Linked DNA regions of Canis lupus familiaris. The protein of the gene in region 1 interacts with the protein of each later gene in a pairwise test. Links are inferred from orthologs where the notes say so. Each region holds a gene or a part of one and is shown on either strand. Other genes may lie near its edges.

Region 1 (4,348 bases):
TTTGCTAGAGCAGGAAGTGGGTGAGGCTTCTGGGCTAAGAGTGAAATGGGATTATGGTGGGGCACACTGGGGCTGTCCTACAACCACAGCTGCATTGACCTATGTTATCGACTTTCTACAGCCTCTTTCAAAACCCAGTCTGCACCTCGATGTGCCCAAATCTGTCTTCATATCTTAGTGAGTTCCTGAGAGAGTAACACCTGTCCCCACCCCAACAACCATCCAAACACAGGCTCATAACACTGTTCCCCAGGCCTGAGGAAAAGGAGTTTTGGGGATAATCTTGGCTGCTCTTCTGTTAGTGACTGGAAGGTCACCGATGGCACAGGATGAGTCCTTTTGCCACCACAGCCTGACTCACCCTTCTCTGATCCCAAATCTTCCTTTCTGGGCTCTATTGGCCATGAGTTCCCTCCATGCCCTTATAGATACAGAACAAGCTTTATTCTCCATCCTACTTTGGACCAGTGATCTGAACACAGTCAGAAAAACCAGCATGACCAGATAGTTGCCTATGTCTGACCTGGATTGTTCCCTTAAGTCTGTACCTCCTGACAGGCCTAGCCATTGGGCATCTCTCCTGAGAGACCACTGACCAGACATGGAGGCAAAGGTGCCGTCATGTTTTAAGACTAGGCTTAAGGAGCAGGAGCTTTAGGGTATGGCTTGTACCTCTCCGAAGGGTATGGCACCTTCTCCTAAGACTCTTGATTTTGCTATCTGATCTGAGCTCTCTCCTTTTTATTCACCTCTATCAAGAGACCTAGAGGACAGCTGGTTCATGGTGAGTGAGATATATTATCACTCCTCAGATGGGCATAGCTATGCTTAGGGTTTGAGTCTGGGGCCCTGGACTCTGCCCTGGCTTCTGACCTGAGATTCCCTTTGGAGCACAACACTTGCCTTCCAGGCTGCTCTCTTCATTGCAGTATTCACTTCCAACTCCTCAGCCAACTTTTGTTCTTTTCTCAGTTTCCTTAATGCCACCTTAAGCTTCTCCTGCAGAGAAAGGTAGGTTAGCGCCCGACCAGTCCAAGAAGTAGGGTGAGGCGCCATGAAGACATGCTGGTTCTTTGAAAAACTTGAGTGCAGAGAAAGAGGGAAGACTACAGTCTGATTGGGATAGAGATTCTGGGGATGGGAAGACTTTGGCAAGAGCCTGAGGTTTCTTTCAAAACACAGCCACGCTGTTGGAGGTGGTGGTGTGGAGTTGGAGCATTCCTCATTCCTAATTAACCAGAAGGCCACAAGGAAGTGTGATCCTTGCAGCGTTTTCCCAAGCGTACTCCCTGGTCCTGGGGAATGAGAAAGCTGTCCTGAGCTTGCAGTTCTCTGCTTCAATTAGACCTGGAAGGTGGGAAACCCCTTCCTTTTCCCAACCCTGAAACTCCACAGGTGACTTTGCCTCCCTCACTCTGGAGAACAAAACCCCAAGCACGGACCCAGCTCCCTTCTACTTGGTCAGGCCTCTGTGCTAAGTCCTTACCTGGTATTCCTGAGCAGCCTCCTCGACAGGGACCGTTTTGTGGTTACGGTGGTTCTGGGACTGGGAACATACCCAGCAGAGGATCTTCCCATCTTCCTCACAGAACAGGTGCAGTCTCTCTCCATGTACCTGACACCATTCCCTCTGTGTGACTTCATTGGCATTCTGGCCAATTTGTTTAAGGTTGTCCACCACGTTAGCCAGTGGCCAATTGGGCCGGAGGTTTCGGAGCAAGAAGGTGTGCTGACACACAGGACAGACGCCGCCACCATCTTTCCCCACCTCAGAGATGCATTTGTGGCAGAAGCTGTGGCCACAGTCAATGCTCATAGGCTCCACTACAGGATCCAGGCAGATAGGGCATGTGACCTCCTCCCACATCATTGCCAAGGGCATTGCTGCAGCCATAGGGGTGATGTTCTTAGTAAGCAGCACTGTGGAGATCCTGGGGTACCCTGGTGGGGAGAGGAGAGAGGGAAATGAGCAGAAGAGAAGGGTTGTGTGAGAAGAAAAACAATCCAAAGGAAAACACAAGGAACAGTGAAGTGGAAGGGGTGAAAACAACACCAGAACATTAACTTGAATAATAAGAGCTTCTCCTCTCTAGTCTCATCCACTTACCTAGTCAGACAGAAGGGGAAACTGAGTCCCCCAAAGAAACTGAATGTTGTTGAGAACTTCAGAGATAAAGCTGTTTATAACTCTATTTTCATCATGGCCCTCTCTGCTTCATCCTCTGTCCCAGGCTTTTCCTGTCCACTCTCTGCCCTCTCAGGTCACCAGTCCGCTGCTGAGCAGCTCATCTGTATGACAGGGACCATGTACTCTGTACACTCCATAAGCCAGAGAAGGTGCTACCTGCTTTGGAAATATCTTCATTATCTGCACAATAATCACAGGAGTTACTTCTATATCTGTGATTATATACATAAGAATATATTTCTACATATCTGTCTGTATGTATATATACCTGCAGGTATATGTGTGCATATGGGTACCTGTATATGTTTATATGCGCACATGAACAGTGCCTGAGCACTCCCTGGGCTCTCCTCTCCCTTCTGGGAACCTGGTAGCTGGCTTCATTGCCTCTGGGGCACAGACCCACAGGTTTCTAGCGTCTGAAACTGTCCTGCCCCCTCTCACCCCCAGAGGAGAAGTGTCGAGGGGAGTGCCCGGACTACACTCCGGGCTGGGCTAGGTTTCTGCCCCGGTGCCCCCCGCTTAGGGCAGCGCCCCCGGGGGCTTGGGTGTCACGTTCACATTTGGGGCCCCGTCCCAGGCAGGCTGCCAGCCCGGGAGGAACTGCTGGGGCTGGGGCTGGGACTGGGGCTGGGACTGGGGCTGGGGCTGGGCTAGCCCTGGGGGAACCGGGTCTGCAGGCCCCAGGGGCGAGGACTAGATGGGGCAGGGGAGAGAGGTCCCCCAGCCAGGGCGGGGGCACTCGGGTCGGGGCGAGTCACTCACCTTTTCAGGGCTTTCGGCAGCCGGCGGCAGGCTCCCTATTTCACTTTCGATTTCCCGTCGAGGCGTGTCCGAAGGGGGTGGGCCGAGGGGCGGGGAGTGGGAGGAGAGGGAGGCGCGAGGGGCGGGGGAGCAGGCGGGGCAGCTCGGGAGCCCCAGGCGGCAGGAAGTCCGAGCTCCGCAGCGTCAAGTCCTTGCTTCGCGTCCCCTCCCAGGTCCTCGGGGTCAAACAAGAAAATATCGCATCCACGGTGGAGGGGTCACGCTGCCTCCTCGGACACTGGTCGTCTCGCTCCACACCTACGTGCTGGGCGACGCCCACGAGTGGGAGCTGCTCTCAGGGAGTTAGGGAGGGTGGGATGGCGACAACGTGCCTGGGGCTCTCCCTTACGTGTCACCCTCTGCTTCCAGAAACAAGTCCTTTTCAGGAAAGGCTTGATAGTCTTTTAACATCAGCTGGTGAGGGATTTATGTACAGCACGATCCCAAGGCAGGTGTCATACCAGTGAATGGTAAGAAGAGAATTGACATTTATTAGGCACCAACGGTGTACTTGTCACTGAGCTAGGGATTTTCTGAGGTTTTCTTTTTTTTTTTTTTTAAATTATGGTAAAACATATGTAACAAAATTTACCATTGTAACAATTTTTAAGTATATAGTTCAGTGGCATTAAATGCATTCACATCATTGTATCCCCATCCGCACCACTCATACGACTTGTTTCATCTTGCCAAACTGAAATTCTGTTGCCTGTTAAACAGTATGTTCCCTCAGCACCCAGCAGCTACATTCAATTTTCTGTCTCTACGAATTTGACTTCTTTAGGTGCCCCCAACGTAAGTGGAATCATATAGTATTTGTTGTTTTGTGACTTATTTCACTTAAAAGGTCCTCAAGGTTCATCCATGTTGTACAAGCATGTGACAGGGTTTCCTTCCTTTTAAAGGCTGGATAATGTTCCAGTGTTTGTATATGCATTTTGTTTATCCACTCATCTGTGAATGGACACTTGGGTGACTTCCATCTTTTGACTCTTGTGAATACTGTTACTGTGTCAGGTTACATATTTAAGCCACATAACGATTTAGTGATTTAGGAGATGTTAAACTCACATTCCAGGAGAGGGCATTGAGTCTGAATGGAGTAAAATGACTTGAGACATAGTAAGAGGTGCATGAGAGTTAAAGGTCTAGGGAAGACCGTCATTTTAGTGACAGCCCAGAGATAACAGGCTGCCCTGTCAACTCAAGCAGAGACTGTGAGGAGGAAGGAGAAACAAGGAAGGGTGAGGAGACTAGAATTCTCAATTCCTTCCGACTCAGACATATTTATTTTTGTCCCTGTATACCTTAAGATAAAAACATCAGTTGAACTTTGCTTAATGTTTTCTATAGATT
Region 2 (4,463 bases), on another chromosome or scaffold:
CCCTGAGATCAAGAGTCACATGCTCCTCCGACTGAGCCAGCCAGATACCATTTTTTTTTCTTTTTTTAACATTTTTTTAAAATATTAGTAATAAAGACAGTGGAAACAAAGAAAGAGACAGTAACCGCAGCGTGTTGAGTGTGATGATTGATAAGGTGCACAGGGGCTAGGGAAGCTTGGAGAAGAGCATCTCTCCCGCTCAAGGAGGCTCAGGGAAGGGTCTCCAAAGATGATGCTCGTCCGGCATCTGGTGGCATTTTCTCCCATGGAGAGTACAGGGAATCCCCTTCCAGCCGTCGCAGCAACTGCAACATTCAGGGACAGGAGAGACATTTAAGCAAACCCTGGAGCTCTAAGGGGTTCCCACTGGAGGTGTGAGACGGGGCTCTGCCTATTCTCCTGCCCCCTGACTTTGGACAAGTCCGTAACCTTTCTGTAAACCTTTCCCTGAGATTCTGTTTACTAAGCTTCTCGGGAACATCCCCTGTGAGCCAGGCACTGTATCAGATTGCGGGGCTCGGGGAGTCAAGTAAGAGCCACGAACTCCTACTGTCAGGAAGCCTGTGGTCTGGGGGAAGAGATGGCACCAAGGACGGATACGCGAGAGTCAGGAACAAAGCCCTAAAACGAGGAGGCAAGTAACGCTGCTCAAAGAAGTGATGATGAGTAGGTGTTCCACCCAGTGGAGAGAGAAAAAAGGCATCTCTTCTTCCTCTTTTTAAAGTTCTTATTTCTTTTTGCCAGAGCACAGGCAGGGAAGCGGACTGGACTCCGGGCCGGGCAGGAAGCCGGAGGCGGGACTCGACCCCAGGACCCTGAGATCGTGTCCTGAGCCCCAGGCCGACCCTAGCCGCCCGAGCCACCGGGCGCCCCCGCAAAGGCAGTTCGGGTTAAGCAGTCAGGGAAGGAAAAGGCAGTGATGGTCCTAGATCGGCGAGGCCTCGCGGGGTGGCGATGTCGGGGTCCGGCGGGGTCCACCGCAGCGACGGCGGGTGCGGGGAAGGCGGGGCCGCAGCGAGTCCCCGGGGCCGCGTGGCCCTCCCCGCACCACCGCCACCGCCTGGCCCCCTGGACAGACCCGGGCCCCAGCGACTCCCAGAGACCGGCTGGAGGCAAGCCCAGCTGGCCAGGTCACCGACTGGGCACAGCGGCCCCGCCAGGGCCCCCGCCAGGGCGGCTGCCCGAAACCTCGGGGTCGTGCCGGAGCATCCTCCTTCCTCGGGGTCTTTAGCCCGCAGCCAGCACTCCGCCTCCGGAACCGAGCCTGCCTTCCCCGGAACGGGGCGGGGGTCCTCGGCTCCTCCAGTTTCCGGAGGGCACCGAGGCAGAGGGGGGCGGCCCAGGAGCTGCAGCGCCCGGGGCCACGCCCCCTCCCGCCCTTTCCGCTCGTGGACTCCTCCCCCGCCCCCTCTTCCGGACCCTCCTCTAGGACCCGCCCGCCTTTTCCGGCCCCGCCCCCGAGGGCCACCCCTCTTCCGGGCGCCCGAGGGCCCGCCCCTTCTTCCGGTCCTTCCCCCTGCGAACCCGCCTCCTCTTCCGTTTTCTCTTCCCCTCCCCCACCAGAAGCCCGTCTTCCGGTCCCTAACTGAGGCTCCACCCCTTCCGCTGTGCCGTCTCCCGCCATCCCCATTGGTGGGAAATCCAAGCCACCCCTCAAGCTGCGGAGAGAAGCGTTCCGGGTTGCCTGTCCCCGGAAGTGACGTTCGAAAGGCCCTCCCCCCGGAAGTGACGAAGGGCGTGCCCTTGACTGGCGGGGAGGGCCGGGCAGTGAGTGCATCCCTCCGCTCGGGCTGCAGGGAGGTAGGAGGCTCGTGGGGGTGGCTCGAGGCGGTGTCGCGGCGGAGACACGCTCCGGGCCTTCTCCTCCGCTGGCCGGCGGCCGAGCGGGCGGAGGCCCCGGGCGGCGGGGGGACCTGCCCCCCGCGGAGCCGGGATCCCCGGTGGCGTCGGACTCAGTCCGTCAGACACGTCCCTTGGTTTTTAGGACCCCACACTCCCTCCTGTTGCCGAGCCCCTTCGTTCCCCTCGAGCTGTTGCGATTCCTCTTCTGATCCTTGGACAACCCCCTTTCCCCTTAATTTCCCGTCAGAAGGCCTCCTAAACGAGTGATAGAGAGTTGCAGACGGCCTTGGGTTCCAGTGTTGACGCTCCTTTAGTAGTTGGGTTGGTTGCGCGCGCAGCCCGGGCTCGTCGCCGGGGTAGGGCCCGGCTGCCCGCGGGTGACCCCGGGGGACGGGCGCGCGGGCGCGGGAGGGCGCGGCTGCCCTTGCCCCAGCAGGGGCTCCACCAGCGGAGCTCCCGCCCTCCCTTCTGATCCAGTCCCGTCCATATCCCGACTGCTTTTTGATTGCCAGCCCAGTGTTCCTGTCCTGGTGTAGGATTGCTTCTGCTTTTTGATTCTGATGCTTCGCTTAACCTCTACTCTCAAAATCTTATATGTCATTTCTTGGCATTTTTGTTCAGGCCCGGAAATCCTGAGGCGCCCCTCTCCCCCCAGGACCACCCAAATAACCTTTCTTTTCCTGGTGAATTGGCTTCCCGAACTTTCTGCCTTTCCCCCTCACAGATGGCTCAGCGACTTCTCCTGAGGAGGTTCCTGGCCTCCGTCATCTCCAGGAAGCCCCCTCAGGGTCGATGGGCACCTCTCACCTGCAGGGCCCTGCCGTGCAGCCCTGGTCACCTGACAGCAACACCCACCCAAGCCCGGTCAATATACACCACCAGAGTCTGCACAACGACCTTCAACATCCAGGATGGACCTGACTTTCAAGACCGAGTTGTCAACAGCGAAACACCAGTGGTTGTGGACTTCCATGCACAGTGAGTCCTGGGGGTCAGCAGAAGAACGTGGTGCTACTTGTTCAGGAATTTGAGTAGGGACACCTGGGTGGCTCAGTGGTTGAGCATCCGCCTTCGGCTCAGGTCGTGATCCTAGGTCCTGGGATGGAGTCTCCCTGTGAGGAGCCTGCTTCTCCCTCTGTCTGTGTCTCTGCTTCTGTCTTTGTCTCTCATGAATAAATAATTAAATCTTAAAAAAAAAAAAAGTGATTTATTGAGTAGCTGTCATGTCTCAGTCCCACGTCTGATGCTTCACGTGCATAGTCTCATTACAAAGACGGGTAAGACCCAGTCCTGGCTCTCAGAGATGGAGTGTAGTCTGATAGGACACAGACCAGTCAACAGTCTTTAGAGCTCACTGTCACTGGAGCAAGCTGAGAAACACTCATGTTCTGTGTCTTGCTGCCCAAATGGCTGAGAGTCCCCATTCAGCTTGGACCAAAGCAAGAAAAATAGGACTAACTATCTCATTTTCTGGCTTTGGGTGTATACCAGTTCCTGACCCTGCGGATGAGTTGATTTTTAACATCTTGCCACCAAAACTGGGAAGGGCTGGCAAAAAGTTATCAGTGGCACCACAGTGGTGCCCAAGCACGCAGGGGATGGGCAGGGTTTTCTTTTCAGTGCTGTATGTAAGTTTGTTGTAGGGGTAGTTCAATGCTTCTAGCCACCTGATTGTTAGCTTGGCCTTTTTCATTTCTGGACTTTGGGTCCCGACTAGCCACCTAGCTACAAAAGAACTTGGACAAACCCCTCAGATTGAGGCATCCTGGTGTAGCCTGGGTTAGACGTTGGGAGGCCTTCTGGGCAAATCTCTGACAGATTGTTTTGCTTTCTTTCCTGTTCTTTCTCTCACTCACCATGTTGCCTTGGGCTGGCCATTGATGTCCTCATGCCTCCCTTTCTTCACTTATAATAGGAGATGAGGTGTTGCAAACTTGTGAGTTCATTAATTGAAATCTCTAAATGTAAAGCGTTTTAAAGGCTGAGACTAAAATAACCATCATGGGCCAGGGGTTCATGGCAGGCAGAGCCTTCTCCCATCGTGGTATAGTGAGCACTCCAGAGAGGACTTCCAAAATGAATGATAAATGGGATTATGCCTCATTTTCTTCTCTGACAAAGTAAGATGTGAGTTTGTTCATTCAGTGCCCGGCACTATCCATACCACCTGTCCTCACAGGGCTCACCACCCAGAGGGGAGCACCTGTGATCGGTGCAGTGCTAACAGCTGACCCAGGGCCTGGGGGAGGACACAGGATAACCCAGTGATGAAAGAAGACATTTGGAACGCAACACCAGCCTCTAACCAGCTCTGGGACCTTGCCATGAGTTCCTTAACTTGTAGGATCCTTCATTTCTTAGGAAGGTGTTTTCCTTTGTGGGGTTGAGGGTTCTGGGCAGTAAAAGGTGAGAAGGTCCCAGCATAGCGACGAGCATGTTGTAGACTCCCCCTGGCACTGGCTTCTCCCTGTAGTTCTGGGTCCATGAGGTTGTCTGAAATAACTCCACAGCCTCATCACTGCTTTGAGAGACATAATCTCATTTATTCAAAAGAGGAAACTGAGACTCTAGAACAGTCAGCTGGTTGGTGAGGAGTCCCTTTTGGAACCCAAACCTTTTAA

The links.
Region 2: the proteins of TRIM21 (region 1) and TXN2 interact in binary tests that used the Homo sapiens proteins (3 or more experiments, as listed by UniProt). The two-hybrid records come from large-scale screens. The link is inferred for Canis lupus familiaris from reciprocal best matches to the Homo sapiens genes TRIM21 and TXN2.

Annotation. Positions count from the first base shown.
Region 1 is NC_049242.1:26,906,686-26,911,033, forward strand, and holds the start of TRIM21 (E3 ubiquitin-protein ligase TRIM21), read right to left. Parts: upstream 3,073-4,348; 5' UTR 2,954-3,072; intron 1,942-2,953; 5' UTR 1,895-1,941; coding exon 1,487-1,894; intron 1,000-1,486; coding exon 874-999; intron 1-873. UniProt on the Homo sapiens protein: E3 ubiquitin-protein ligase whose activity is dependent on E2 enzymes, UBE2D1, UBE2D2, UBE2E1 and UBE2E2.
Region 2 is NC_049231.1:28,946,508-28,950,970, forward strand, and holds the start of TXN2 (thioredoxin, mitochondrial), read left to right. Parts: upstream 1-1,643; 5' UTR 1,644-1,800; intron 1,801-2,566; coding exon 2,567-2,820; intron 2,821-4,463.